Macaca fascicularis: one gene and its partner. The protein of the gene in region 1 purifies or fractionates together with the protein of each later gene. This does not show direct contact. Links are inferred from orthologs where the notes say so. Each region holds a gene or a part of one and is shown on either strand. Other genes may lie near its edges.

Region 1 (4,495 bases):
TCGGAAGGCTGAGGTGGGAGGATCACTGAGCCCAGGAGGCTGAGGCTACAGTGAACGATGATCGCCCAGCTGGACTCCAGACAAAAATGCAAGAACAGTCGTCATAGACTTGACCTGGGACATAACTTTTATGTGATGAAATTAACAATCTTTTAGGAAGAAATTAGCATTTCTGATAAAATGTATTATAATTACATTATTATAAATTCAAATGGAATTAAATATTCTGAGAAACTAGCTTCTCAGTCTCTCAGTTGTCAGTCAAAAGTTTAATGTCTTTGGCCGGGCGCGGTGGCTCAGGCCTGTAATCCCAGCACTTTGGGAGGCCAAGGTGGGTGGATCACGAGGTCAGGAGATCAAGACCATCCTGGCTAACATGGTGAAACCTCATCTCTACTAAAAATACAAAAAATTAGCCAGGCGCAGTGCCGGGCGCCTGTAGTCCCAGCTACTCAGGAGGCTGAGGCAGGAGAATGGCGTGAACCCCGGAGGTGGACGTTGCAGTGAGCTGAGATCGCGCCACTGCACTCCAGCCTGGGCGACAGAGAGAGACTCCATCTCAAAAAAAAAAAAAAGATAAAACAAGTTTAATGGTCTTTGAGCCAAGTATTGTTCCTTTTCTTTTTTTTTTTTTTTCCACAAAATATCTCTAGATTGAATCTTAGAATTGACTTAAGTCTCTTGTGGCAATTTTGAAATGAAAAAATACATGCTCATAATTAAATTACCTGAACATTTTAAAAAACCATCATGAGGTTCAAATATCAAATATTCGTAAATATTGTTGTGATGATAGACATGACTCTTATTTTTTCCCTTAATAATGATTGAATGTTTATATATCCTCCATTCTGTCTCACTCTATGATTAGTACATTATAGTGGCAATAATCTTAGGAATCTAACAGAGAAAAATGTTGCATTTGAAGACTACAGACTGCAAACCAATTTGAGCCAGGTTCCTTGACATGTCGTGCTATTATTATAGTACTTTACATATAGTAAACATTAATTACATATATGTGTAAGGAAGCAAGAAAAGAAGAAAGTATTTCATTCAAACTCCTCTCTCTCCATCACCATTGGCTAATATCATCATTTGTATAGTTAAGAACAACACAGGCACTCACCACATAGTTTTTGAATAAATGAATGAATGGCAACCCTTCTAAGACTATTGGATACACTGTTGTTTGAAGGCAAAGAGATAGAGTAGATATCTTCAACTTTTTTCCTGTCTTATGATTCTGTGGTTTCTATGACTACTAAAAGTTAGCTACGTAGAAAATTTGTTTTAAAGTCTGAAAACCAAAATGCTTTCAGATAAAAGGCAGGGAGAAAAATAGTCTTCAACATGTCCACTTTAGCACCAGGAAAACCTAATATCAATATCACTATCAATGATATCATATAAATATCATTACATTGATGAGCAATGTCAATCCCTAAAAACTATGTATACCAATAGCACTAACTTGTGGCCAGAACAAGAACCTTAACTGTGCCAAATTTTATTCTATTCAATAGCAGCTGCCTCGTTTTCAGTTGTGCACATCTGAATGCAAGCAATCCCTGTCTGATGTGGAGTTTCTTGCACTGATAAGGAAAAACTGCTGAAGTTGTGAGGCTGCTCCAGGCAGAGTCATCATGTGAGTCATATGAAAGCTCCACACTGCTGACCTCTGGCAAAAAGGGAGAGAACAAGGATAGGAGAGGCAGTGGGGGAAAGGTTCAAGTGCGGGTTTTCTCCTTGAACCTAGAAGATTATGGGTCAAGAGCTGTGTGCAAAGACTGTACAGCCTGGATGCAGCTGCTATCGTTGTTCAGAGGGAGGCGAGGCACACAGCTGTCGGAGGAGTCAGCCTGAGACCATGGAGGCTGCGTTCAAGGTATTTGTATCCCAGGAGGAGAGCATCTTTCTCTATTGATAAACCAAGGAGTTCAGACACTCCCTTTTTGTAGCAGGGTCTGATTCTTCTGCGGTAGGTCTAAACCAATAAAATGAAAATTCTATTAAAGTCACAGAAAATTTATGGCTGTAGTTATCAAATTTGGAGAATTTCTTGTAAACCAAAAGGGAAAAATAATCCTTGGCTTTGGGTTGCACGAAACTCACTTGGCTTGAAGTAGTTCTCTCGAAATCTCTAAGGTCCTAAATTACAGAGCTGAGATTTAAAAGGCAAGCTGCAGTATTAGTTGATATGCTATGGATTCGAAACTTTAGTAATTAGTTCATGATTATTAGCAATGCAGTAGTAGATTATTCCCCCACAGCAATAAATTAAGTGGACAGGAAAAAAAAAAAAGCCAGAGTTAAACAGAAAAAAGTTGGAAAACATCCATCAAAGAGATTTAGGTTAACCTAAATGTTAAAGACATATTTTTAGGTGAAGAAAGAATGTAGTATTTCAGGAGTTGATACCATTGTGGTCTTTTTCGGGGATTTTTCAAGAAAAGTGCCTTTTGGGGGTACAGGAAGCTTAGAAAACATGTGAAGAGTGAAAATGAGGCAAATAAAGAAAAAATTGTTTTACCAGGCACTGAATCTTTACTTTGCATAAATTATATTTCTGCTCTTTCTTTTTTCTCTAGCTAACAGACCTAAAAGAAGCATCATGTTCCATGACTTCATTTCACCCCAGGGGACGTCAGGATGTCCGTGCCCAGAAGTTCAAGAGTAAAAGGCCACGGAGTAACAGTGATTCTTTTCAGGAAGAGGATCTGAGGCAGAGTTTTCAGTGGGTGAGTGAGCAGCTGATGTTGATCAAGAAGAATTTAATGTGTGCTTGTCTAGGGAGGCCGGCCCTTATGTCCAGGGCAATTACTGAGCGAGCCTTCCCAAGTCTGCTCTGGAAATGCTGTCTAATTTCCCTGGAGAAAAAAGTCAACACTAAAAAAAAGTGCTCTTTCTCTCTTCCCTTTCACTCACTCCTTTTCCCCATTCCCCTAAAGCAGAGGAAGAGCCTCCCTTTTGGAGCAGCCTCATCTTACTTGAACTTGGAGAAGCTGGGTGAAGGCTCTTATGCTACAGTTTACAAGGGGATTAGCAGGTGAGTGACACATAGCTGGGATACACTTTAGAGATAAGGGTCCTGCCCCCTTAATTCACATTATAAAGCCAGGTGAGACATCATAGAGGTTCATAGCACTCAGGACCTGGGCAAGACACCATGGCCGACAGGGAGAGAGACATGATGACTTAAACAGCCTTGAAAGAAAAACAAACCTGCCCTGCCCTAATAAAAATCAGCCCACTTAAATGTTTATCAGCCTTTCCCTTCTTGCATTCAATTCAGAGAATTCAAAGAAAATAGACATTCTCTACTACTGACCCAAAGAACAATTACCACTCTTCAGGCCGGTGGGAGGCACAGTTGGTAAAGCGTCTCTAACAGGTTTTTTATATCCCTCCCTAAATCACAATGACAGAGGTTTGTAATGGCAACCTGGAGTTTGCTGCTTCATTCCTCCACCTGGCCTTTATAGAAGAAATTGGAGTTGGTTTCTGCAAATTATGGTACATGCAAAAGATGATGAATCCTAGATTTTTTATACTTGCAAAATATACAAAATGTCTGGAGAATAAAAATACTGCTTATCCAAAAGCTAAGTACTAATTTTGGTAAACAACAAACTTTGTTAAATATATATAAAAGATCCATGAATTCCCTTGTCTTTTAGTCAAGGTGGGAAAGTTGGAAGGTCGTTTTTTCTTTATGTTACTCCAATAGATAAAAATAATGGCTCAATAGTGGTTAAATATTAATTTTAAAAATATAGCTGATCCAAGTGCAGTGGTATTTACTACTTGATCACAACCAGCTACAGATTTCTTTGTTCCTTCTCCACTCCCACTGCTTCATTTAACTGGCCAAAAACAAAAAAAAGAAAAAAGAAAAATTTTATATAACTACTACGAGACTAAATATTCATTATTTATCTTAGTATTTATGCTGTTATTATTATTTTTACTTGTTAAAACAAGATTGTAGGGGACATACAATTTTATTTTATTTTATTATTTATCTATTTATTTATTTTGAAATGGAATCTCACTCTGTCACTCAGGGAGTGCAGTGGCACGATCTCAGATCACTGCAACCTCCACCTCCTGGGTTCAAGCGATTCTCCTGCCCTGGCCCTTTATACTTTCTTAATCTGTTTTAGTCATGGTGTATATTAACTTTTTTTAATGCTGAGAATATCTGCAATAAAAGACCACATTTGATTTTATTCTAAGGTTCCTCATATCAGTTTGGCCATGGTAACTGTTTCAAGATGGCTCAGATCTGGGGCACCCTGGAACATACTTGGATACATGGGTACCATGAACACTTCTGATCTTCCCTTCTGAGTTCTGACTTTGTCCCACACAAACAGACCTTTCTAGCCCAAAGTTTACACAGAATTCACTCATCTTTTCTTCTAGTTACTGTATGTTTTCTTTTTCATTTAACTCTTTTATATATTGGGAATTTATATTGTATATTCACAAT
Region 2 (3,819 bases), on another chromosome or scaffold:
AAAAGGAATCAAAAGCTTCTGAATCATTTCTGCTTGCTGCCTTTCTGAACCTGGCCATGTGCTACCTGAAGCTTAGAGAATACACCAAAGCTGTCGAATGCTGTGACAAGGTAACGCCGTGTCTCCTGTGAGATAGACTTGAGATATTCCAGATCTTTTCTCCATCTCTGTCTTTTGCTTCCTCTCAGCCAAAGATTGAAGGATTTTTCATTTTGTTTTGTTTATTTGAATGTTTGGGATTATTTGTTTCTCAGTATGAATTGGGAAATTGAGCAAGATTTTTATTATAGCCAGACTTTTATGATACCTAGGACTGTTTGTCATAATGCATTCTGAAGAAAAATTTTGATTAAAATTAAATAATTTTATCCGTGACCTTCCTTATAACTGTAGTATATATATCAGAGTAGATGTATAACTTCTCAGGTTCAGTTTAATAAGAGCAGATTTAACTTAAGCTTTTCTGGACTTTAACAGACTGCAACTGTTCATATAAAGCATATATGTAGGTCAATTTTTATTATAATCATTTATTCACTGATATGCATAAATAATTTGAAAGGTCCACAGAGCATCAGCAGCCTTTTCATTTTTACATTTGTCTTATTAATACTCTCTTTGGTCTTTGAGTACTTACACACAGTAATAACAATGGTTTATCATCTGTATCGTTATGTGTCATTCTGATATACACCAGCTGATACTATTTTAGGTATCTGGTCTCAGGGTGAACAGTGTATATTATACTGTGGGTAAAAGTAAAAACTAATCATTGGATGTATCTTAAAGGTAGACATAAAAGGAAAAGAAAAACAAGGCAACTATTTTGTACATTCTTTGTGAGATTATTTTTTAATTTTGTGGATCAGTGTTTCCTATCGTATCCTGTCTCCCAAGACCGGTTATTAATTTTATACATATTTTTTCATTTTTTTCATACACAGTGGAGAGAGAGTGTGTGTGTGTTTTGTTTCTGTTTTAGAGACAAGGTGTTGCTATTTTGCCCAGGCTGGTGTGCAGTGGCTATTCATAGACATGAACATAATGCACTATAGCCTCAAACTCTCAGGCCCAAGCTGTCCTCCCACCTCAGCCTCCTGAGTAGCTGGGATTACAAGTGCATGCCACTACACCCTGCTAATTTTTAAGTTTATTTTTGTAGAGATGGGTGTCTTCCAAAGAGCTGGGATTAAAGTTGTGAGGTATCACACCCAGCACAGCCTTGACTACATTATTTGTCTGTCTTCTATTGACAGAAGCAGTCATATAGCATCACTGTTAACCCTATTTTTGGCAATAGGAAGCCTGTTCTCCTTTTTTTTTTTTTTTTTCTTTTGGAGATGGAGTCTTTCTCTGTTACCCAGGCTGGAGTGCAATGGCACAATCTTGGCTCACTGCAGCCTCCACCTCCCGAGTTCAAGCGATTCTCCTGCCTCAGCCTCCCAAGTAGCTGGGACCACAGATGCCCACCACCACGCCTGGCTAGTTTTTGTATTTTTAGTAGAGACAGCGTTTCACCATGTTGGCCCGGCTGGTCTCGAACTCCTGACCTCAGGTGATTTGCCGCCTCAGCTTCCCAAAGTGCTGGGATTACAGGTGTGAGCCACCACACCCCAGCAATTTTCTTTTAGCTTTGTTGATTATATCATTCTCTTTAAAGAAGGTTTTAATGTTTATGTAGTCAAATTTATCTTCTCCTTTCTAGTTAGAAAAGACTTCCCCACACCAAGATTATAAAAATAACTGAGGCCAGGCACAGTGGTTTACACCTGTGACCTGTAACCCCCAGACTTTCGGAGGCTAAGGCGAGAGGATTGCCTGAGCCCAGGAGGTAGAGGCTGCAGTGAGCTGCGATTGAGGCACTGCCCTCCAGCCGGGGCGACAGAGTGAGACTCTGCCTCAAAAAAATAATAATTAGATTTTAAATATCTTAAAATAAAAAACAATAGAAACATTTTATGGTTTTTTATATGTAAATATGATTGATCTAGAATTTATTTTTATGCTTACAATATGAGGTTAGAATTTAACTTTTTTTTTTGGAGACAGAGTCTTACTCTGTCACCCACGCTGGAGTGCAGTGGCATGATCTCGGCCCACTCCAACCTCCACCTCCCTGGTTCAAGCAATTCTGCCTCGGCCTCCCAACTAGCTGGGATTACAGTCGCGTGCCACCATGCCTGGCTAATTTTTGTATTTTCAACAGAGACAAGATTTCGCCATGTTGGCCAGGCTGGTCTTGAACTCCTTACCTCAGGTGATCCACCTGCTTCAGCCTCCCAAAGTACTGGGATTACAGGCATGAGCTACTGCACTCAGCCTTAACTCTTATTTTCTACGTGGATAGCTGCTGTCCTGGCCCCATTTATTTTAAAGTTAACTCTCCACTGATTCATATTACCACCCTTGTCATTTTCAAACGTTTTTATATGCAGACACGTGACTGTTTCTGAATGATTCGTTCTGTTTCACTGAGCTGTTTGTCCACATACTAGTAACCACACAGTCTTAATTTCAGTAGTTTTAAAGTTTGTCTTTTTCTCTGGTAGGACAATGCCTCTTAGTTTTTTCTTTTTTCCCATTTTTTTTCAGCCATTCTTGGGCACTTACTTGTTCCAATGAACTTTAAAATGAACTTCTCAAGAGCCCCCTCTCAAATCTCCTTGGTATCTTTCTAGAAATTGCATTAAATGCAGAAAATAATTTGGGTAGTAAATTTTGATCAGTAGTATATAATTATCTTGAGCCCCATTTTTTAAATACACTTTTTCCATCTCCTTTGGCAAGAGAACTTTGGTAAGCTGTTTGCTGAATTTATTAAAATTCATCCTTTCTAAAATATAAACCATCTATTCCTAGGCCCTTGGACTGGACAGTGCCAATGAGAAAGGCTTGTATAGGAGGGGTGAAGCCCAGCTGCTCATGAACGAGTTTGAGTCAGCCAAGGGTGACTTTGAGAAAGTGCTGGAAGTAAACCCCCAGAATAAGGCTGCAAGACTGCAGATCTCCATGTGCCAGAAAAAGGCCAAGGAGCACAACGAGCGGGACCGCAGGATATACGCCAACATGTTCAAGAAGTTTGCAGAGCAGGATGCCAAGGTGTGTGCAGAGCCCGCTGAATGCAGGTGGATCAAGAGCCTGCCGTGCCCCTTTGATTTTAGGGGACAGGAACAGTTAACCCAAGAGGCTCAAGAGTAGGAAAAACAATTTCCAATCTGATCTGAGGCTGAGTATGCTTTGGATCCAAAGGTTGAGTAGGGCAGTTCTAGTCACCAAAGGCACATGTCGTGAGAGATGAGAAAAGTAAATTCCCTTCAGATGTATTAGATTGGTTCAAAAGTAATTATGGATTTTACCATTACTTTCAATGGTAAAAACAGCAATTTTGCACCAACTCCCCACCCCCAAGTTAGAATCTCACTCTGTCACCCAGACTAGAGTGCAGTGGTGCTGTCATGGCTCACTGCAGCCTTGACTTCCCTGGTTCAAGTGATCCTCTCACCTCAGCCTCCTGAGTAGCTGGGACAAGCACACCACCACACCCGGCTAATTTTTTTAAATTTTTTGTAAAGATAGGGTTTCACTTTGTTGCCCAGGCTGGTCTCGAACCCCTGGCTTCAAGGAATCCTCCTACTTTGGTCTCCCAAAGTGCTGGGATTATAGACATGAGCCACCATGCCTGGCCCTTTTGTCATTTTTGAAAAATTGTAAACCCATCAGGATTTTTTTTTTCAAGTAATACTTCCTCATTAAGACTTCTAATTTTCCTAGGAAATGGGATGTTATAGGAGCCCCAACATCACGCCTGTTATCTTGAGG

The links.
Region 2: the proteins of CDK15 (region 1) and FKBP5 purify together in Homo sapiens (affinity purification with mass spectrometry; 3 studies listed by BioGRID and IntAct, counting the BioPlex papers as one, with this or other methods). This does not show direct contact. The link is inferred for Macaca fascicularis from reciprocal best matches to the Homo sapiens genes CDK15 and FKBP5.

Annotation. Positions count from the first base shown.
Region 1 is NC_088386.1:97,624,720-97,629,214, forward strand, and holds the start of CDK15 (cyclin-dependent kinase 15), read left to right. Parts: upstream 1-1,683; 5' UTR 1,684-1,765; coding exon 1,766-1,888; intron 1,889-2,591; coding exon 2,592-2,741; intron 2,742-2,951; coding exon 2,952-3,049; intron 3,050-4,495. UniProt on the Homo sapiens protein: Serine/threonine-protein kinase that acts like an antiapoptotic protein that counters TRAIL/TNFSF10-induced apoptosis by inducing phosphorylation of BIRC5 at 'Thr-34'.
Region 2 is NC_088378.1:136,110,729-136,114,547, forward strand, and holds part of FKBP5 (peptidyl-prolyl cis-trans isomerase FKBP5), read left to right. Parts: coding exon 1-110; intron 111-2,859; coding exon 2,860-3,099; intron 3,100-3,819. UniProt on the Homo sapiens protein: Immunophilin protein with PPIase and co-chaperone activities. Component of unligated steroid receptors heterocomplexes through interaction with heat-shock protein 90 (HSP90).